4 linked regions of the Drosophila melanogaster genome follow. The protein of the gene in region 3 interacts with the protein of the main gene of each other region in a pairwise test. Each region holds a gene or a part of one and is shown on either strand. Other genes may lie near its edges.

The links.
Region 1: the proteins of CG8813 (region 3) and CG4570 interact in a two-hybrid assay, tested with the Drosophila melanogaster proteins (one large-scale study listed by BioGRID).
Region 2: the proteins of CG8813 (region 3) and ebo interact in a two-hybrid assay, tested with the Drosophila melanogaster proteins (one large-scale study listed by BioGRID).
Region 4: the proteins of CG8813 (region 3) and CASK interact in a two-hybrid assay, tested with the Drosophila melanogaster proteins (one large-scale study listed by BioGRID).

The regions. Positions count from the first base shown.
Region 1 is NT_033777.3:10,854,754-10,859,153, reverse strand, and holds CG4570 (uncharacterized protein), read right to left. Parts: upstream 2,348-4,400; 5' UTR 2,137-2,347; coding exon 1,309-2,136; 3' UTR 1,088-1,308; downstream 1-1,087. Other genes in the region: CG14694 (uncharacterized protein), read left to right, coding at 1-314, 369-610, 673-934; CG4511 (uncharacterized protein), read right to left, coding at 3,387-3,860, 4,122-4,298.
Region 2 is NC_004354.4:470,230-478,820, forward strand, and holds ebo (ellipsoid body open), read right to left. Parts: upstream 6,351-8,591; 5' UTR 6,168-6,350; coding exon 6,165-6,167; intron 6,064-6,164; coding exon 5,540-6,063; intron 5,085-5,539; coding exon 4,929-5,084; intron 4,852-4,928; coding exon 4,469-4,851; intron 4,278-4,468; coding exon 4,081-4,277; intron 3,990-4,080; coding exon of another isoform or gene 3,972-3,989; coding exon 3,535-3,971; intron 3,477-3,534; coding exon 2,927-3,476; intron 2,861-2,926; coding exon 2,691-2,860; intron 2,623-2,690; coding exon 2,413-2,622; intron 2,333-2,412; coding exon 1,897-2,332; intron 1,704-1,896; coding exon 1,605-1,703; 3' UTR 790-1,604; downstream 1-789. Other genes in the region: CG13373 (uncharacterized protein), read left to right, coding at 6,918-7,062, 7,378-7,702, 7,784-7,847.
Region 3 is NT_033779.5:2,867,485-2,871,562, reverse strand, and holds CG8813 (uncharacterized protein), read right to left. Parts: upstream 1,912-4,078; 5' UTR 1,818-1,911; coding exon 963-1,817; 3' UTR 914-962; downstream 1-913. Other genes in the region: Ifrd1 (Interferon-related developmental regulator 1), read left to right, coding at 1-559, 631-874, 2,013-2,240, 2,309-2,392; CG2991 (uncharacterized protein), read right to left, coding at 3,896-4,078.
Region 4 is NT_033777.3:21,819,021-21,824,481, forward strand, and holds the start of CASK (CASK), read right to left. Parts: upstream 3,655-5,461; 5' UTR 3,463-3,654; intron 2,004-3,462; 5' UTR 1,686-2,003; coding exon 1,627-1,685; intron 747-1,626; coding exon 634-746; intron 104-633; coding exon 1-103.

The sequences.
Region 1 (4,400 bases), on a different chromosome or scaffold from region 3:
CGCTGCTCTGGGCATTCTTTTTGCCAAAGGTGGAGAAGAGTTTGTACTTTCACAATCGAAGCGAGGCCATAGAAGGTGGAACCAAATCGGATGGTGGTAACCTGGAGAAGGGTTCAGAGCAACCCAGTAACGAGGAAGCGAGCCAAGAAAAGAAGATACCAGCGTTGCAGCTCCTTTGGTCCCACTTCCGTAGTGCCTACACTAATCCCTTGGTGATACAATGGAGCTTGTGGTATGCCATCAGTTTGGCTGGATTTCTGCAAATCACCACCTATATGCAGGTGGTATGGAAGTCCTTCGAGAACGAACCAACAGTGAGTGAGTTTCAATAATCAATGGCTTTCTCATCCTTGAGATTTCCCCTGAAGATAGCCTGGAATGGAGCTGTGGACGTGGCCCTGACGCTTCTAAGCGCTGTGTTCGCCCTTCTCGCCGGTTATTTCCATGCTGGACGTCTGAACACCAGGAGCAGCCTGCTCTCGATGGCTCTGCTGTCGGTCCTGGAAGGAGGTTGTGTTTTGCTTTCCTGCTGGACCGATGATATATATCTGTCCTATCTTGGCTATGTGCTGTATGGAGGCCTGTTTGCCTTCACCATAACAGTGGCCAGGTAAGCAGTTCTTGATCCTTTTCCAACAGGTGAAATTTACCAAATCTCGTAATACCTTATAGCTCGGAGTTGGCCAGCAGCTTGGAGGAGGATAGCTTCGCTCTGGTGTTTGGTTTCAACACGTTCGTGGGACTCCTCCTGCAGTGCATCCTCACATTTGTCGTCGTCTCGGAAAAGGCCAATCTGAATTTGAATGTTTTTCAACAGTTTTCCGTCTACGCATTCTATTTTATAGTTATTGGAATAGTCTATTCTATTGCTGTTATATTGCAATATATATGGTCAATTTCGAAGAAACCAAAAGCAATTCAGGAGGCGAATTAACAACATACTCTAATGATGAAAAAGTGTTCATTTATCAAATAAAATTGTTATACATATTTAAAGTTTGTTTAATAAAATAATAATTGGCTTGTATTCTGAAACATTATTACTTTTAAGAAATATTTCCCAAGCTGTTGAAACATCGTTGATATTATATTGTTTTACACTTTATTAAAATGTATATGTTTTTTTATAGTTATAGTTTCAAAAAATGAAGATATTTAATCCTACGCCGCGAATCTAATCAGAGTGTACCATGTACATTATATGGCCACTACAAACTTAATAATATGTCAAATTAAACAAGATCATGAACGTCGTTATTTTCAATACAACATTCAAGAATCAGGGTGCGATTGGAATCCACAGCTTGGCTAGCAGAACTCGGTCTGATCCCCGCCGTTGCGGAGGACCGCTGAGACCCGCCACGTCATCGACTCGTAGAGCATCTCAATTTTGTCCACCATGTCCTGGTCGCTGTGCCAGACGTCGTACAAGACGGCTCGAAACTCGCTGACATTTTTGGGCGCCTGATTCTGAATCCTCGGCTGGATGATGGCCATCAATTGCTCGAGGAGATTGAGGTCATTGCAGACACTGCCCTCCGGTCCCATCAGCGAGTCAAGGAAGATCTCCTTTGGCGGCGTTGATTCGTCGACGAATTTAAGATCGTCCATGTTGAAGATGTTGCGCCAGTCGCGCACGGTCCAATCCTGATGGGCGGTGGCCCAGGCCAACCTCCTTTTTTTCGCCCCCTCACTGAGGCCGAAAGTGCTGGGCTCCTTCGGCTGTGGCGATCCTCTCGGTTGCCGTATGCCTTTGGAGCGAATCTCGCTGATCCTGCGCTGCAAGGTCCTGCGGCTGACCTCTATGCCGTGTCGGGCCAACTCCCGCTGCACATCGATGGAGGTGTAGTGCGGATTGTCGCTCAGCATTTGCTCGACAATTTGCCGGTTCTCCAGGACCTTGGGTCTGCCAACATCGCGCTTCTTTTCCTCCTCCTGCGCAACCGCCACGGGCGCCGCTGTTTTCAGTTTTTGCGGCAACCTCAGCGTGGCAGTCTTCCCCTCGAGCAGCTCACACTCACGAATGCAGCTTATCACGCTCTCCACGTCGCACTCCAGGATCTGGGCTATCTCCTCACAGCTGTTCGAGCCCTTCAGCGCCTTCACAATACTTCGAACTTCGGGAGCGAGAACCATTTCGAATCACTTCTGTACACCTCGAGTTTCACAATACCAATGATGGTAAATCGAATCCTCGATGGGCGTTTTATGCACCTGGCAGGTAAAAGTTTTTGCACCGATTTTGACGATAGTCTGGACCGTAGTTTTATGGCGAGCAAGCTGCAATTGGCGGGATTACGGCGTCATTACAGGTAAATTCAGTTGGCGTCCCTTTTTGTCTTTGGCGGCCATTCCGTTATTCGTCTGCGGCAAGACTGGCAACCCTTGTGTTAAGGGAGGATTTTCGGAATCTCATGATCAGCTGTTCGGGGAAATACCATTACTTTAACTGCAGCGTAGTTTGTTCAAACCTATTATTTCAGGATTATTTCATTCAAAACTATTTAACCCGATGATCAGTTCTGTGTTTTCCAAGTAAGGTTTAATAATATCGATAAATGATGAAAATAATAAGTTCTTAAAGAAATTCTAGTCTTTTTGTTAAAAAGTCATATTTTAATAAAAAGCTGCCTTTCCCGTGTATGATTTAAATAAAATATTACCAAGAGTACGATCTGAAATGCAAAAAACCTGTGTGGGAACCATTTAAGTTTACAACCAATTACCAAGCGCTTGCAATTGTTTTGAACATGCTATTTAATCGTTGATTTCCTTTGATGCTTTGTAGAATTACAAAAATAAATATAAAAACTTGTACATATGTAAGTGTTAGTTACCTCTACTGTAGGAAATGCAATACACCTTTTATCGAAATTTTAAAAATATATATATGCCAGATATTTAGTTTCTTGTCTTTTATGCTCTGTGTATGTTAGTTTCTTGTTTTACGTACACCGTTTTCTGGAGGGCGAGGGCAGTTTGTAAAACTATGCTCAACTTAACATATATACGCAAAGGGTGCACATTCATTTGGAATTGCAAATACCATAAAGATCAAATTTTGAGTTCGCTTAAGCTCGCTAGAGTGGCGCAGCCTTCGAGGCAGCTGATTGAACTGATAGATATTAAAGCACATAATCGGGGGGGAAGGCAACCGAATTAGCCACTTACACTAGGTGGCGATGGGACCGTAGCAGAGGGATCGGAATCGTATAATTAAATAAATAACGCTAGAGTACGCCTAATTGGTTTAGATCCATGTGCTAGGTTTTGATTTGTGTGTGTCCGTTTTTGTTACTCCATCGCTTTTGAGTGTATCTTGTGTGGGAGTGTGGAACGAAAGCTGGAGCTTGGGTAATCGAGAGTGTGGGATGGACTGCCCGTAGTTAGTCATCCAGATCTATATCGGAGTCATCCGAGTCGTAGCCTCCACGTATTGTCTTCTGTGGGCGGTTGATGAATGGTTTGCGTTTCACATCTGGTGGCTGCATCAGATCGCCCTTGTAGTCAATGGCCCCCGAGTGGGCGATGCGCCACTCCAGCATTTCGGTGGCGAAGTCGTCGCAGTTGCCCAGATCGGTGAATCCGACAATGAAGTCCTTGGTCTTGCTGTCCTTCACCAGGGCGATGGTGGGTATCACCTTGATGCGCAGTCGCTGGGTGAGGAATGGAGTCTTTTCGGCATTCACCTTGCAAAACTTGGCCTCCACGTGCTTGGCCGCGAGGATCTTCAGGTGCATGTCCACGATCTTGCAGCGCTCGGTGCTGTCGCGGTAAAAGTGGCAAACAATGTTGGGCGACTTTTTCGACATCTCGAAGAACTCTTTTTCGTCGGCCAGCTCGGTGTAGGTGCCATGACCCTGGAAAAGATTAGCAATTTTGGGGATTAATGAGATTGTTGCGCTAACAAGGTTTTCTTTGAAAGTTAATTTTTACATATATATTTAAGTTTTGAGCTATTTAAGCTGGTAGCCCAATTTGAAAACTAATTTGAATTAATCGAAGCAAGTGTCGCGAATGTCTTAAAAGTCGCATGTTGAATACCATTTGGTCATATACCACTTAGAGAACAATCTCGAAGTATCTTCAATAATTGAGTGTTGTAAGAGATGATCACCTACGTTTCTGAGCCACTCCTGCTTCTTGTTGTTCAGGTCCTTCATTTCGCGGAGCCGCTGCTCCCGCAGGACCTTTAGGTCATCCGAATCGAGGTTGTCCAGGCGGTCGAGCTGCTGGTCCAGCTGCTGCTCGATGGTCTTGGCGGCCGTGAACAGTTGGTTCTCCAGGATGTTGGCCATGTTGTCCTCTTCCAGTTGCTGCTCCTCTGCGTGTCTTGATGTTTCTCCGTTATTTGCACTCTGCGTGTGGTGTGTTCGTGTTGGCGTCAATGGTTGCGCGTG
Region 2 (8,591 bases), on a different chromosome or scaffold from region 3:
CATTTTGATTATTTGAGCGCGTGCGCAAGGCATAGTAATTAAACATATAACATTTAACGTTATACTCATAGGTCTATGTTTATAGGAAATCCTATTAGTAATAGTTTGCAATGATTAAGGTTATGGATGTTGAAATGATAAGCAATTTATTGAAAATAAGTTGCCTATAGCTTACCTGAGATTCTAATTTATTTATAAATTGCCTCTGTTGCTTGATTTAATACAATGAAATAACACGACCGCTATTTACATATGTACATATGTATGTACATCACATGTAAAAGTAACCGTAAGCTACACCGAACATTTGCGTCAGATATTTAACAGCATTTATTGAAACCACAGTTACAAAAACTGTAAGCGACACCGAAAACACACTACGAAAACCTCTAACAATGGTTTTTAACTAATTTCGCCGTTTTATCACTAATCGTAGTCCAACCGAATGTAGGCCTCCAATATCAAACTGCACTCACCAAATTGACCGGAATAACTGAAATCACAGAGTGTAGTCAAAATAAAGTTACATTTCAGGCAACTTTAGAACAAAGTAACGGGATTAAAAGCTCGAACAGTCGATAGTTGATGTAGTGGAAAAGGAAAGGGAACAAAAGAGAGATGAAAGATAACTGTTTCATAATTCGATCTCTTTTATATACATACATGTCTACCTATGTATGCATAGTATGAAAAGAGAGCAAAATTTGCATTTGCTCCTATAAAGCCACGTGCCACCCATCGTTTTATAACTGATTATACTAACTAGACTTTAATAAATGTCATGCTAATCAAATACATATCTAATTGCGAACAACTGGCGAATAAAATGGTAAAAATAGTTTTATTGGACTTTTGATTGCAGGACTTAAGCAATTATACATACATACATACATTCATACATAGTTCAAATCATTACAACGGACTTTAAACGCCTTGAATTTACTTTTGGTTGGTGGTGGTGTTAGGTTTTCCCGAAATAAATTACATACATAATTTCGTACCTGGGTTTTTCGGCCCTTCCAGCTATTTTCTTACTTGATACTTTATACTTGCTTACAACGTAACTGATTTACATGTTGAGATATGCTAATTAATTTATGGATATAAATGTATATGCTACTAAGATATATGTAGGTATGTATATGTAGTATGACTTTTATCGAGTTGCGGTGACAGCACAGAAAGCAGAGTAATCGTATATTCGTTACGTGGTAGACATAAAACTAAAGATAATAATGCACTTAAATCTATGTACGAAGCTTGTTTTAAGTTAACATTTAATGTCTTTTTCAATCGGGACGAATGCTGAGCTTTCTAAACAGAAATACAACATCGCACAAGGAAGAACCAAACGCAATCTGGTGGGATGGTGTTAGAACATAGGGCTTTGGGGACACGGCCCACAAGACAAAGGACCTGAAGTAGATGACAGACAGTATCGGGAAATATGGCATGCAAAATGCGACAGCATATTACATTTAAAAGTTACAAAAATAAAACAATATAGTACTTTATATACATGCAAGAACCTAATCGTATGCGGCCGTGGTTTACGGAACAAGGATGGGGAGCTGTTAAAGTCCCGCGCTTGAGGGAAGGAAGGCCTACGCCGTCTCATTGAGGTGCACGCAGTGGGCGTCCTGCATGAGCTGCGTGAGTTTCTGCGTAAACGTTGGAATGTCCTGAACAATAAAAGGTAGTACCTATTAAACGCAAAGTCAGTCATGGAAGAGTCACCACCACTTGCAATTTTGTGTTTATATTGATTGAAACAATTGAAACAAGTCGACATGGACAGTAAGATTGTAACAGAATGCTTAAATCATAAATGGAAGACAGTTTCTTTTTTTGCCTTGCAAGTGGTGTCGATCCCTTTATATTCAGTATTTGACTCACATTTGTCTGGCAGATCTCCTCCAGCGACGTCTGAGCCACTGGCAAAGAGGCGTGAACGAAGCTCTCGAGCAACTGGCGTCGGTCCACCTGGCCCATAGCATACAACGCCTGGGCAATCATGTCGAAGTGGAGGGAGCCCTCTCCACTCAACAGCAGATTGAGCAAGGCCCGCTGAAATGAAGCCAGCAGTTGCTCCTTGAACAAGGCGCGTTGGTACAACCGACTCCTCTCATTCACATTTTGCATTGAGAAGAGAACGCTGCGCACATTGCTCGGATCAGTCCCACTGACCAGCATCTGGCCATACGCATTCAGGATGGCCATGAAGTGTGCTGGATGCAGGTTGTCGCTGCAGTTGAAGTTGCCGGAGCCACCACCGCTGTGACCATTGGAGAGCTGATTTTTGTAGAAGAACTGCCACTTGCAGGTGAGGACACTAAAATGGAGAAAGGGCGTTAATTCATGACGACACAAGACACAAGTACAATTTATTTTAATTTATGCAGCATCACGCACCTATCAAACAAAGCGTACAACAGGCTAGTGATCTCGCTGTTATCGGTTGCCGCATTTTGCTGCTGCAACAAGGGCAGAATCTGCTGAGTGCTAAAATCTAAAATGGAGGGAAGCAGCCCCAAGGAGGCGCTCCCTGGCTGCTCCACGATCAACTTGAACATCTGCAGTATTTTTTCCATCACAGCCAGTCGGCTCAGAGTCAGTTGCTCCCTGGAGACAGAAAGAGATGGCATCATTAGTAAGCACTCACACTGTAAAGAAAGAGATGGGAGACCCACCTACTGCTGACACTTATGAACAAGGTGATCATTTCCTTAATGAACTGGGCCCCCAAATGGGTGGGCAATGTTCGGAGCATGCTCAGGCTAAACTCGGCCACCGTGATGGCCATGGCGATGCTGCTTTGCCCAAAGTTGTTAAAAATCATTAGGGCCTTTGTTAAAATAGGCTGGAAAACAAAAAACGTTAATAGATTAGGATAGGATGTTTAAATTTACTTAAAAAAATAAGGCACCTTGAAAGTGCTTGCCAGCATATCCTTGGCATTGCCTCCAGTAGCTTTAAAATACTCAATGAGAGCAGTGAAAGTACCCAGCAAACTGAGCGTGGTGGCCGCCACCTTGCTCTCGTTGGCCTGGCCTAAGTCCAGATCCAGAAAGTTCTGTGCCAGCCCCTGGACATATTCACGCAGCATCCAGAGACGCCTCGGATACTCCTGCTGCTGCTCCGGAACGCTTTTCCACGGCAGCACCATGTAGCTGACCAGACTGATGTGTACATTGATGCACACCTGACGCGGCAATTGGGCGCCCAAGCGAGAGCCTGCCTGCAGCAGGCTTTGGATTTGTGGTATATCCAGCAGGCACTTGGGCCGTATCACAGTCGATATGAAAAGCAGCAGCTCGCTTGCCGCCTGCTGCACAATGGGGGAGGCAGCCGTTAAGGATCCATTGCATGCGAAAATGCTGCCCAGGATAGCAAACAGGCGGTGCAGCAGTTCCTCGCCGCTCATGGCTTTCGTTAGCGGAAAGATGCTCCTCATGGCCAGTAGAACTTGAGCGTATCTGAAGGATCAAGAAAGCATAGTATCACATACATCATGCAAAGGGATGCCCCACTTACAGGTTGTCCAAATCAGTCTGGAAAGTAGCTTTGTCCATTTCGCTGCCGCCGCTATACAAACGATTGCTTGCGAGGAGCTGTAGAGTCTGCAGCAAACTGTCGGACAGCATCTGCAGCTGGCACTCCATCTCATCAGCAACCCCGGGTGCTGCTGTTGATGAGTCCATCAATGGGGCCAAACGCACGACCGCCTGGCAGACGGTGGCAAAGTCGCGCAAAATCTCGCCCACATTGGCGCCCTTCAGTTTACGTGCCGCTTCGTAGCTTCGAGCGCTTCCGTGGTCCAATGCGTGCTCCAAGGACAGTAAATACATCTGTGGCCGTGACCAGTGGTTATAGACCTGTGCGAAAACGATGTGTGCACCTCTGGTGTTGGCCAGTAGGGCCAGGGACTCGAAGCATTGGTCTAGAAACTGCTGCCACTCAGTGGCGGAGGTCTGAAATTGGATGAATGTCTAGATAAAATGAAGATCGTTCTAATGCAAGGTCTATTTCTTGGTTTTTGAAATTTGTCACCTAAAAACACTTTAAATCAGAGCTACTTACATCGTCCTCCATGAGCTCGTTGTCCAGCACTTCTAGCTCGGGTTTGTTGGCCTCAAACTGAGTGCGCCTCATAATCTCATCTACTAGCTGGGTAAGCACATTGTTATAACGCGTGATTTTGGCGGGGTGCTGGGCAATGCCTTTGATGATGGGTGTCCAGATCTCAAGCTTTTCGGTGAAGTCCAAGGCGCCGTGTACTGTTTGGGGAATACAAAATTAATAACTTTTGTTATATATCTTTGTCAACGACATTTCGAAATCTCGATCACGAGATGCACATAACCCATTTAATATTGCGAGTGTTTTATGACTACACAGCAAAAAGATCATCTCAAAATAAAAAATAAGTTAGCATCTCAAAAGGCAATATTTTTATCACGCGACTCACATTCAGTGGTGCAGCTGTATAGCAGATTGAGAAAGGTCTCCAGCAGGTCTGGCTCCTGCATCAGCTTGGCGGCATACTTGGTGGTGTAGAGGCGCAGCAGCTCCCGAAACTTGTCGCTGTACATCTCGCTCTGCCGCCGATTGTTATTGTGCTGCTCCAGGAGGCTGGTAACGCCGCCCATCAAGGGTCCTGGGAAGGGCAGTGGCTTCTGGAGGTAGAGGAGCTCATTCAACACAGAGAGAGCCGCCAAGGAGATGGGCTCATGGGCTGGTCGCCACTGGGAAAGGTCAAGTATGCTCATAAGGAAGTACTCCGAGATCAGTTCAGTGCGTATCCAGGAGACCAAGTGCTGCACACATCCTAGCAGGTCCAAAATTGAGGAACTGCGGAGTATATAGAGAGATGTTATAACAAAATGTTGTAATGAACATATGCTCTTTTGAATGTTATGATGACCCACCTTAATTGATTGTCATTTGGCAGCGCTGAGGTTAGACTAAAGTCCATGAGGGTGTTTGGTATGGTTGTTTGGATGTCTTTGCCATTGATGTGGCATACAGCGATTAGCAGATACTTGGTTACCAGGTCCAGAACATCGGGTACACACATGGAGATGCTACAGAAACACACGGCAAAAGGGAGCACAAAATGGGTTAGGAACAGTGCTGTGGCAACTGACCAGTAATTATAGTGCTTTCTCTCAACAAAGCAATATAATATGATAACTGGGTTAACGGTTCAATTAGTTGAGTTTTAAGAGGTCAGCTGACTTTAGTTGTTATGCCATATACATACTCAATCTCAATATAACACTTATTAATAAACCAAAAACAAGAACGGACTGACAAGGTCTGGGATTGTGTTATTCTATGTTGTGCGACGCAATCGTGTATTTAAACAAATAACACCAAAGTTAATAATAAAAATACGCTATGCTCGAAAACATCGACCATCTGATACGCCGTACTCAGTTAAAAATCCAAGTAGTCTTAAACAGACATTAAAAGTATGGGACTACAAAACCTTTTTTAAAAAACATACGATTTTAGCCTCTTCGCTCTATTTACCCACCAGGAGTAGAAGTACTGCTTCCATTCGGTGGTCAGGTCGCCCCTGTTGCTTACCACCTCCTCGGAGGTGATCTTAAGCAGGTTGATGCCAAGTTGAAACCGTGTTTTTGTCAGTTCCATGCAGTGTTGCATGTAATTGGGGTCCTGTTCAGGGAACTCCCTCTTTCCGAGTAGGGCTATCAACTGGGCCAGTGTGTCCCTGTGCCGTTTGGCCACATTTGGAGTGGCTACCAGTTGGGCATACGAGTTCCAAAGGGTCTCCCGCAGCAAAGTCTTGTCCGTGGACGTCAACTGTGTCCATCTCCGCGTGATTGTGTGCTCCAAGGTTGAGGTGCTGAAGAACCAGAGGAACTGATTCTCCGTGGTGTCGGAAGAGGTGGCCACACGGAGGCAAAGTTGCCACGCCTCTGGCTGGGACTTGAAGGCCAAGAGGTTTGTCTCGATCTCTCGTTTCCGGGCATTGGAGGTGCTGGGCTGATAAAACTCCTGCAGCAGTCCCTCCACCGTCGTCAAAGATGCGGCGTGCTGCACAGACAGTGGGTGGGTGGAAACCAATTCCCGGTTAGGTGGAATCACTCTGAATCACTGGCAAAATAGTGCGTTTGGCCCGGAGCCCCCCGCCTCACCATTTTCCGTGTCCTTTACGATCCTTCCGAGTATCTGTGATCTGGATGTTACGGTCACTGTGAGCTCCGCTTGCTCGCGGTTCTAATTCCGATCGCATCAGCAGTCGGCGTCCATTAATTGCATGGTTTTCTTTGTGTCTTTACACAAAAGGTGGCCAAAATCTACTCCGGGAAAGTGAACAAATTCCGCACGGCTGGCAACCCTGGCCGATAGTCAATAAATATCGATAGTTGTTGGTTATGGGTATTTTGAAATAAAAAAATTCTACCTTTCTTATTTTAATTACCTAAAACAAAATTTTTTTTAAATAAAATTGGCTATATAAATGTTTCAGCTAAAACTACGAGCGAGCAGACAAGCATCCAATTCAAATCCATAGTTATACAAATATATATATATATATATATATATATATATTATACAAATGTAATAAATTTTATATTTTCAGTCATTTTAATCTGATAAATTAAAAATGCTGGACTATTCCAAACAGCTCATAACCAGAAACATTTTGAATTTTCCGCCTAACCGCAAATTCGATCGATAGACGATAAAAAAATTGATCGCAGTCGGCGCTTTTGTATGTATTTTTTAATATGGTAGCACTATTCTAATAAGGCAATATTGTTAGCAAAACGGGACACTGATTAACTGTTAGCCTGCAAGTTAGGAAACCTGAAAGTAAAGGATTTTCAATTGATATTTCAAGACGTTCCTATCCGATCTGCCCAACAATCTGCCAGTATCTCATCATGGAAAACCAGGTCCGTAAAAAGGCGGCAAAACGATCGCGATCAGCGGATGGCGACGCCAACAACAATCTCACGCAGCGGAAGGTATTTGTGAACCAGAAAATGTGCGACTCCCGTGATCCTCGGAAGATGAAGGAGGTCCATGGTATGTAAATTGCCTTATTCGCACCAACTTATCTTGTTTCGATCCTGTAATGGAGGGGTGGGAGATTGGAGAGATAGCGCCGCTCAGAGCGCAGTTATCCCGGACTTGTTGCTCACTTCAGTTTGAACAGTTAGACGCGAGAACAAAAAATTGAGCAAAGCAGCGACCTCTAATTTACGATGAATTTACGCATAAATTTTTTTTTTTAATTTTTTTCTTGCTGTTCTTTTGCACGTCCCATCGAAGCTGAGTGTCTAACCCTCCTTTAAGTGTCTAACTCAACTGGAACTCTCCGATTTTCTATTTCTTTCGCAGAGAAGACAATCAAAATGCTTTTCGATGGCGCAGCCGGCAATAGGCAGGGTCAGGGCCAGAATGCCCTGAAGCCATTGGTACAAGGCCAGGAGGAGCCCGCCCTATGCGAGCAGTACTATCTGCTTGGCGATGGTTCCATCGTTCTGCGCAACCTTCGCACCGACTTGTCCAATCCGCGCCTGGAGAGAGTGAAATCGCGCTGCTGCCAGCGCCAAACGCTCATCCACGACATATGCGTCAACTGCGTGATGGATCTCTGCGAGGAGTGTGGCTACTCCTGCGGCGAGTGCTCCAGGTTCATTTGCCGCAGCTGCGTGACTTTATTGTGAGTTAAGTCCTTAAAAGAAGCATCCCCCTTGGGAACACCTTTTATTTGAAAATCAATCGACCATCATCTTATTTCCAGTGGTAATCGAGTTGAAGAAGAGAAGGATCCCCTGTGCGAGCACTGCCAGATGTTCTTCAGCTAAGGCTTTACACAATCCAGCACTTATAAAGTCGCGGTGCTTGTTAAATTTTAAGTTCTGAAGCAGTACAAATTTGGGACGACACAATGTCAAATGTATTACCAACCAGCTCCGTTTCACTTATGTCCTGTAACTGCTTTCTTTCCGGCCGATAGCCTGGATGAGATCCTGGCACAGGAGACTGGGCTGGGCTGCTCGGTCTGACATCAGGTTACTGTGTTCTTTTAACAGCACAATCAGGTTGTCTGTGAGTGCATTATACAGATCCACAAATAGCTGCCAACTGCCGCCGTGGCTGATCAAGTACTTGATGTCTACATCCAACATGCTGCCAAGAAGGCAATCCAGGGACTCTCCTGTGAGAGGGACCGTACGATTCCCGGCCAGATTGCGCTGGGCCTCTAGGAGTCATAGGGCATGACCAGAATATGCCAAGTCTTTGGGTTCCGGTTGAAATGGTCATTAAGGATCTAAAGAGAACATTATTAACTAGGGAAGGAGAATAAGGTACTGGGGAAGACTCACCGCTCCCTTCACGCTGCTCAACGAGCATTTGGCAAAGAGCCAAAAGAGTTAGCACATTCTGGAGCGCCGTGTGCTGCGTTTGCGACGCAGGGCGTGCCATTTGCTCCTCTTGTGAGGAAAGACGGCGCAGGAGCAGTAGGAAATCCTCGTTAGTCTTAAAGACAATGATCAGATATGTCGGAAGCATTCATCTATCCCTAGTTCGTCTAGGCATGGAGTTTT
Region 3 (4,078 bases):
TCGAGAAGGCCCTGGAACAGGCCACCGAGAAGTCGGCCCAGACACGTGTGCAGGCTCTGCAAGCGATTTGCGAACTGCTCATGCACCGCTACATGCCGGACTTCGTGGAGGACCGCAAGATGACCCTGATGGATTTCGTGGAGAAGAGCATCCGTCGAGGCAAGGGCCAGGAGCAGGTGTGGGGCGCACGACTCGCGCCCCTGCTGGTGCTCCAAATGGGCGGGGATGAAGGCATATCCAAGGCGATGAATCAATTCCTGTTGAACACCGTTCAGGACAAGTCCGTGGGCTTCGATGCCCGTGCCAAGTGCTGCACAGCTGTGGGATTGTTGAGCTTCCTGGGCTGCGAGGATGTTGGGGAGTTGGTACACCTGATGCAGAGCTTCGAGGCCATCTTCGCAGGCAGTTATTTGCGTGGCGATGACAAGACACCGGTATCCGTCACCGCCGAAGCTGGGACTTTCCATGCGGAGGCCTTGAACGCCTGGGGGCTTCTACTAACACTTATACCTTCGGGGGATTTTGTTTCGTTGATGACCACTGGCCAAAACATGTTTCCGTAAGTTTGAAGAGCAAGTTCCATTTAACTTTCAAACCCATTGCTATAATTGTTTAAACTAAACTTTGCAGATCTATTAAGAAGTTCTTGGGTCTCTTGCAATCTACACATTTGGACGTCCGCATGGCCGCTGGCGAGACCATTGCTTTAATTCTGGAGTCGGGACGTGCTCACGAAGAGGATTTCCTAGAAGATGACATCGCTGAGTTATCGGAGGCCGTCAAGCAGCTGGCCACGGATTCGCATAAGTACCGCGCCAAGCGCGATCGCAAGGCCCAGCGTGCCACCTTCCGTGATGTGCTGCGATACCTGGAGGTGAGTTGAAGATTTGCACGAGTGCTACGCTTAAACAATAGGGATTACATTTATTTATTTGACTCGAGATGCACTAGTCTTTGGACGATTACTTCATGTCAGTGCAAGTGAACTTGAGCTCGTGCTTGCAGTACTTGGCCAAGCACTTGGAGTGATCGTGCAACTTGTTGCGCATGATGACGCAGCCGTTCCGGCTTATCGAGTCCATGTACTCGCTGAAGGTCGGCACCTTCCGGTATGTGGTCGGGGCGGAGTTCCAGTGCGAACTGCTGCCGGATTCGATGGTCTGCGAGGAGTCCGAGAAGCTGGTCTTGAATGGCTTGTAGTTCTTTTGGCACTCGTCGCTAGACATCTCGTAGCCAGCGGACGCCTCCCGCTCCAGTTCGTTCATCACGTTCGAGCGGAACTCGTTGCAGGGTCCACGTTCGCTCATCAGCTTGTTGGCGTTCTTGGACTCGTCCTCCGTCTTTAGGCTCTCATAAATACCCTCCGGGTACTCGTTCATGTTACAGTAATCGATCTGATAGGTGGTGTTCATACGGTTGGTCTCCAGCCTGCGGCTCAGCTCCTCCTTGGGCATGACCTTCAGGCGTTCATACAGATCCGGGTAGACTGTACGTAAGATCTTGAGAAAGCGGTTGGGTTGCAGCTTAAAGCAATCTGTTTCCGCGGAGAAGGCCATCTTGTCCACCTGGTCCTGAGTCAGCTGGGTGGGTATGATACGCGGATCCACCAGCTTTCCCATTGGCGCTATGCCCGTCCACTCGACGCCGCCACAGTCCTTAGACGCGTTCGGCGGCATCATGATCTTGGACTCGTCGACGCATTCGCACTCCTTGACCTGCGGACCACTGTGAGCCTCGGCGCCCCTGGGCCGCGTTAGAAACTCGTACCGTTTGGCACTGGGCGGGACATAGTCGTGCTGATAGGTTGATAGCATCATCTTGATAACGAAATCTACAAAACTAATTGGCCAAAACAATTTTTTTTAGTAGTTTTTTTTTTTTTAACGAGAAATTTGGTCTGTTTGATCTGATAGAGAAACTAATAGTGATACATTTCAAAATCGTACGAAATGAGATTAGAATATTTGCTCGTAGCCTAGCCTGATTTTAAAGTTTTTTTTATCTCGTTGCAGGAGGACATTTCCCCAGAGATTAGCATTCGTTTCGGTACCGAGTCGCTGACACTAGATTCCTGGTCCATCCATCATCAGTATTCGGCCATGTGCACTGTCATGGGTCCCGGGATGACCTCGCAGCTGCAGGAGAACGAGTTCATCCGTGACATCTTCCAGCTGGGACCACGACCCACGAACACAGGCATCAATGGAAACGCCAAGGTCAAGCCGACCAAGCTGGAGCGGGTAAGTTGATTGAAATGTGTTAACATTCGCTTCAAATTTTAATATATTTATATTTGTTGCTTTTGCAGCACCTTGTGAATGCTGCTGCATTCAAGGCACGCTCCATAACACGTGGAAAGAATCGTGACAAGCGATCGGCCGTCGTCACTTAAACCTGTGCTTCACCCACCAACCGTTCCCATCCACAGACACCCAAACCAACCATCTCAAACCCCGTTAGCCAACTCTGGACTTACTAGTTGAATTGTTTCTAATTTTAGCTTGAACCAGGCAAAGCGTCGCCAAAGCTGAAGAACTAAGTCTAAATTTAGGATAATTCAGTGTAATCTACAAAATTTCTCTAGTTTATTAACCACATGTTGGAGCCATTGTTTGAATATTATGAAATATTTATTGCGTGCACGCACAGTGGTTGTTTATCAGTAAGTGCATGGCTGGCTCCAGCTTGGATCTTATTCTTTGTGAATTTAAATTAACACTGCGATTGTTACGACTGGCATTTACGCTTTGCGATTTGGGTTAACCTCTTTTGTTGTTGATCTTTTTAAATTACAAGCGTAGGAAAACATAGTCTGCTTTAATGCTGCGAAAAAGTTATTCATAACTTGACATGGCTTTTAATACGCATAATAAGCGGCTCTATGAATACATATATTTTGTAGTAAATAAGTGTAAAATAAAGTTTAGGCTTAAACGAAAACTACTTGAAATGCATTCTTACTGGTGGGGATACAACAATGGACTCCTTTTTAGAAAACACTTAAAAAACAGTTTGCGTTTTATAAATTGTATTTTATTTGTTAGTTTTATCACAAAAATTGTATGGTAACTTAAATTGTATGTTGGATTCTTTCCTTTTGTGGATTTTGTTTTGTTTTTCTTTGCTTTGACAAATTTTGTGTAGTAACTACAATAAAATTTATATATATATATTATATATGTTCGTGTGTATGTATATATGGGCGCAGCTTATACAAATCAGTTTCTTAAGGAGTAAACTTAAAGGTTAATAAGAAACGTATTTCCATCAAGTACAAATTAAAAACTTGTTTGCTTAATTTAATATTCGCCAAGTACTCGTGTTTTGCTTGCTTCTTGTTTGCATCCATGGATGAAACCGATAATGAAATGAAGGAAATCAAAATGCTTTCATAATTTAGGTGTAAATAAAAGAAAACTATAAACTATAAATCAGCATGGGGACTGACTCACTGGCGCATCTAAGCACTATCTTCTCGCTTATTCGCTCTTCAGGCTACTTGGCAACGCGTTCGTAATCATAATCTCAGGATGTTCTCGTTTCTGTTTCCGTTTCCGTTTCGCTTTCGCAATTGATACTGACCTACACTTATTCTACGTAATATTTGGCTTCTTGTAATACACTTTGCTTCTGGAAATCTGCATGATAATTTGAGAGACGAAATTCACTCGTTAATCGAAACGCTTTTCGCTACTCTTCTTGTCTACTCGCTAGAGATTTAAACCTATGTACACGGTTGAGGATAGAAAGGCGGGTGCTAGGACCCACCTCGCGTGTGATGTGTAAACTAATAATTGAGCATTGAGCAAAACCTGTGCAAAACGCATGCTAAACTAGGTAAGTAAGTAAGTAATGTTTTGTCTGTGGGGGTTCAGCTGATGTGTGTGGTAGCCTCTTAGGACGCAGCTCCCGCCCGAACCGCCTCTGCGGAGGTGCTGGCGCTGACCTCCTCGCAAATGGTGTGCAACTTCTCCATCTCCGAGCTGGTCACGATGTTGATTGAGCTAACTTTGGCCCGCTGATAGGCCACCACGGTGTTCTCGCCCAAACACTTGACGCACACATAGCCAATGAGCAC
Region 4 (5,461 bases), on a different chromosome or scaffold from region 3:
TCGAAGACCATGTAGAGCATTCCCTCGGAACTGTACGTCTCCAGCAGCTCTACAATGTGCGGATGCTTTAACATGTGACATATTGTGGCCTCGCGCTTCAGATCTGCAAAAAGAAAAAAATATGCAGAGAATGGGGGCGTGAGTTCAGATTGAACGAGGTTGGGGCCAACAGCGGCAATTAGTTGACATTGGAATGGGGCACGTGGGGAGTACCACCCACTACACCAGCTGGCAGTGGCACTAATGGACTTAGCGCTGACTTATGTGCCTGCCATGTATCATTTAGTCAATGGTCGGATGGCTGCTCCTCGTCCACATTCACATCCACGTCCGGGTTCGTGTCCATGTCCTGATTCAGGCTCAGGTCCTGGCGCCCTTGCACTTGAGCAATTTCTTTTTAATTGGCGTCTTGGGCTGGCAAACGGGCAGCCCTGGGGGCGTGCTACACGTGTGGCAGCGGCATAATTTTGAATAATTGAGCAGCTTAATTATAATTTATTCACACAGCGCTCTGGAGGAGTCAGGAATCGGTAGCCCGGGGCCAAATCGAACAAGGTCGTCTCATTGTGCCGTCAAAAATAAAAGCGGAGTGTATACATATATATATAGGTGTATTGTGTATATAATCCTCACCCGCTGTGCTCAGTCCAGGACTCGCTGTGAACTTGGCCACATCAACGATTTTGACGGCAAACTGCTGATTGGACTCCCTGTGTATGCATCGCCTTACGATGGAGAAAGGTCCTCTGTAAGAAACAATCCCGGATGGGGGGGGAATAAAGTAAATTCGGATTAAACTTCAATTGAAAGTTGATTGTGTCTAAATGGGAGCGAATAAAATTTTATCTTGCTTCGACAAAAGCAAAATATTTATATTTTCCGAGCGTCTAAAAGCAAACAAGATACTTGAGAAAGAGGAAATTTAATCAACTATGTATTCTCTTTGTAGTTACAAACGTGGGGTTTTAATACAAAAGCTTGCCATAACATTACTGATGATTATTTTACAAATAAATTTTAATTTTCTTACAAATTCCTATTCAATAACTCATTTAAAGTCAAGCAACGATTTCCTATCATCTTGTTTTATGAGCGTGATTAATTTTTATTGAACTATGTCACCAAGCTGAATTTGGAAAACTATTGCGATTCAAGGTCGTCATTTTGCTTATAGTTTATAGATTATAAATTGCAAAAAATTAAAAAACGTGCTATTTAGTGACTCACACTTCATTTTCAATAAACTTTAGAAGTGTGTTAATGGAACATTTTCAACATCAGTGAAAAATATTTTTCCAACGAAATTAAACAAAGTTCAACTTAATAACATTGACAGCTTTGTGAATGAACTTCTGGCTAAACTATGATGATCACAGCAAAAGTAACTAGCACAGAAAATGTTTGGTCATACATTTTTGAATAATGCAAAAGTTGGGCGTTTGGGAAAGTTTTTTATAGAGGGGAGCTGGCTTCGTCCCAGGCCAATAGTTGCATGATTTACGGCTTCTGGGTGGGTGGGATGGGCATACGGGGCGGATACATAATACATAATGAGATAATGGCCATGGATGCCAGCTGTCAGCAGCAGAATCGGCTAAAGATATAGCCGGTGGGGCGCTAACTTACTTGCCAATGACCTCGCACAGCTCGTAGACGTCGTCAAAGAGAATTTCGTCTTCGGTCATTTTGAATAATTGATGAATTGATGCCTCGACTCAATTGCTTTTTCGAATATTGATGAGTTGTGTCCTGTTTTTCGTGTCCGTCGCTTTTCCTTCTCCCGCTTCCTTTGCCCGTCGTCGCCTACTGCCCTCCAAAAACGAACATAAAAAATAAACAAAAAACTAAGCGGCCAGTGAGCAACTCCAAAACTTTGAGCGTTTTCCTTCGGTTTCTTCTGATGATTTGTTGTTAATGGTATTGTTATTGGTGTCGTTGATTCGTTGTTGCCGCTAATGCTGTTGCTGTTTTCGTAGCTGCTGATGTTAAGAATGCATTTTGCGCTGGAAAAATATAACAAGTGAAAATGGTGAAGGTGAGTTTTTCCATTAGTTGAAGGCCGCTAATCAGATTTATTTGGCGTCTAATTAAGAAACTGTCAAGAAGCTTTGCGAGAATTCTGTCAAGCAGATGACGCAAATATAAACAAATTTGTTTACATTTGTGAAAAATTATACACAGATTTTAATCAAGAAAATTTGCTAATAATTTCCTAAATATTTTGTAATCTTACTTACAAACTAAGTTAAGTTTATAATGCTATCTGAATCAATCAAATTGAAAATGCCACTATAAAGTTGGGCTGGCGTGTTGACACTTGTGTGATGGGAACACTTTTCGAGGGACCACTGTTAATGGTGTCGCAACGGAAATGAGACTGGCCTGGCCGAAACTTGTTTGATATGTCAATCACACTCATATCAGGTGTAAACCCCAATCAATTACAGGCGGCACACACCACAAATGCACAAAATGCTGTCGAAAGTGCCAATGGTAGGAAGGAAGTATCCCCGCACAGTGGGCGTTGTGAATTTTGCAACGGAAATGATGGCCAGCTGAAAAGGTAAACAAGCCAGCAGGACCTGCAGAATGTGTCCTTTTCGAGGGTCTCGTTCCAAGGATGTTCGCGGGGAAAGTTCGCAGGGGGGGAGGGTGGATGGGAGGCGCTACCTTTGTCTTGGCCATACTATTATTATGCCTTTTGGTCCAGCACTTGAACATACTTTTCAAAACTTTGATGGCACTCCAAAAATCCGAAAGGAGAAAGCCAGAGAGCGAGAGAGTGTGAAAGAGAGCGAAGGAGTGCGAGAAAGATGGCGAGCATGGATGTAAAGTGCGCCGGCGCCGTGGGAAATTCGTGTAAAGCACCAAAATTGTAATCGTAAAAAATATAAGCTATGCTTTCTGCCCGGGCTGCATGAATATTTAAATGTGCAACAATTTACGATGCACACACGAAATGTGGAGAACTGAGTTGCGACTGCGAGAGCAGGACGGAGCATTTGCGGGGAATCCCCGCGAAGGACTTTCTGGTAGTCATGTTTAATGCAGAGCTGCGCATGGGGCGCGGTGTTTTTGGCTCGGTTTTAGTATTCGGGCTCGAGGGTTTTACCTTGCTCGTGTGCCGCTGTTGTAAAATGCCTTGACACTTTCCACACGACCTTACCGCCCACCTCACTAACGCACCCACCCACACCCACATACACTCACTCACTGACTATGTGTGTGCATTTGGCCCTGCTTTTAGGACTTTTTGAGACTCTCGAGTGTCGCACAATTGGCAAATTGATTCTTTGTCTAAAGGATTTGCATTGCTCATGTTCCACGCCCCCTTATCAACGACACCGCCCCCTTTATCGGCCACACATAGAGGGGGCCACACTCACACCACACACACACACACACACACGAACACACACTGGCACGAACAATTCGCATATAGTTTTATGTACGAAAACCCACCGATTTGGCAGCGATTCTTCAACGGCCGCTGGTTTTTGGCATTTTAGCGAATCGCATTAGCACTCGATTGTCTAGGTGCGCAGCACGAATCGCCTGGCAAGCTGATTGCATTGGGTAATTTACTAATTTTAACTTAAAACAAACACGGCCCGTGAGGAATTGATTGGCGAAGAACTGGTTGCAACTGAACCGGTTCGCCGCGAACTAGAATTCCAGGGCTGCAGGTGCATTGCTGGATTGGTTCGGAACTTGGAGTCGGTTCACGGCTCTCCCATTGAAAATTGATACCAACCTGTGTTCATTAAAAATATTGTTTTTAAAATAAATTTAAGGGTGGTACTGCAGCAACTTACTTCGTTAATCAAAGTTTTAATTCAAGAAAGTTTGTTTGAATCAAGCAACTGGTTATACTGGAAAAATACCAGAAACCCGTTGGTATCTAAGCTTTTCTGTCATTTTGTTATTAACTTTATTTGGTCTGTTAAAATTTGCGCGGAAGTTTTTGAAAAAAAGTTTTGGGGACGAGAAAGTATAATTTTGGAATATTGTTAAGAATATAGTCATTCATAACGACACAGATGTTTTATCGAAATTGAAAATAAATACTATTAAAACTTTAATTTTGTTAAAGAAAAAGTAAATTATATTTTCCTGCTCCTTTCTCTTCGGTAGCATTTTGCATATGCTTTTATTTGCTTGACTTATCAGCAAAAGGCAGTTGTTTTCCTTTGATAAATACCCACTGCATGCTTAATAAATTTACTCGAAAGTAAGATAATTCATTGCACACTGAATTGTTTCCGCTTGAGTGAAGTCAAATGGAGGTAAATATTTATGCGGTACGCAAGCAAGTGCATAAAGCTATTGTGGAATATTGCACATACGAATTTCGAACACTTTCCAGTTTTATCGGCAATACGATGCCAATTACCATTCATCAACTTGAAAGTAAACATTTTCCCCTTCAAAAATGATTCACGATTTATTTAACTGGACTAAGCCACCAGTGTGTTAATACAGGGATTTTCACTACAGAACCTTTATCAACTTACTTTATCGCCAGGCTCGTTCACAGCTCATTGAATATTACCATATTATTTACATTACTTCTCTTTCGCGCCATTCAACTTTATCTATTATTATTATTATTACCCCACAGCATTTGATAAACCCATTAGAATAAATTAAGATCTTGGCATTAATATGCCAGGCACACACACAGGAGTCCCTCAACCGAAGACGAGGAAAACCCACACGCACTCCTCGAAAATAAAAAATAAAAACCGTAGGTGCGTAATCTTTAAATCAGTTGGAAGGGGCTGGTGACGGGGGCCAATACTCAAACATAAACATCATCAATTACAAAACCTCGAACAGCAACAACAACAACAATCACCGCCAAACGCCCAACGACAACAACACACAGATAAGATGCAAGAGAAACAACAAGCCAATAAGGGAGCAACAAACACAAAACCATCAGCCAAATGAAGAAAGACCTGATGAAAATGAACTCAATATGGCCATATTACTACGGGGGATATAGTCGAAAAGGATAAGCACCAACAACCATTTCGAGATGAGCAGCAAAAACAACAAGTGTTAATGATCAGCAATAACAACAGTGGTCACCCACTAATGTCCACCTTTCGATTGTAAAATAGCAGCCAATTAAATTATACGCACTATGAAATATTCAGAAATAATAAAAAAGTAATTAATTTTTTTTTTAATTTATACAACTTCTTTCATAATTTGTGAGATCAATCAAATAGTTTGGGTATAAACTAAAAAGTACACACCTTCCTCATTCTTAAGTGGTTTTACCTACTTGTATCAGCCAGCTAAAATATATAGAAAAGAAAAAAAAATTTTGTTTTTTTATTTAAAACGCGAATCTTGAAAAATATATATATATAAAAATATTATCCAATTACCACTGTACCCTAATAAAAAAAAAGCACAAAGCGGAGATATAATACACAACTCACGGTGAGAA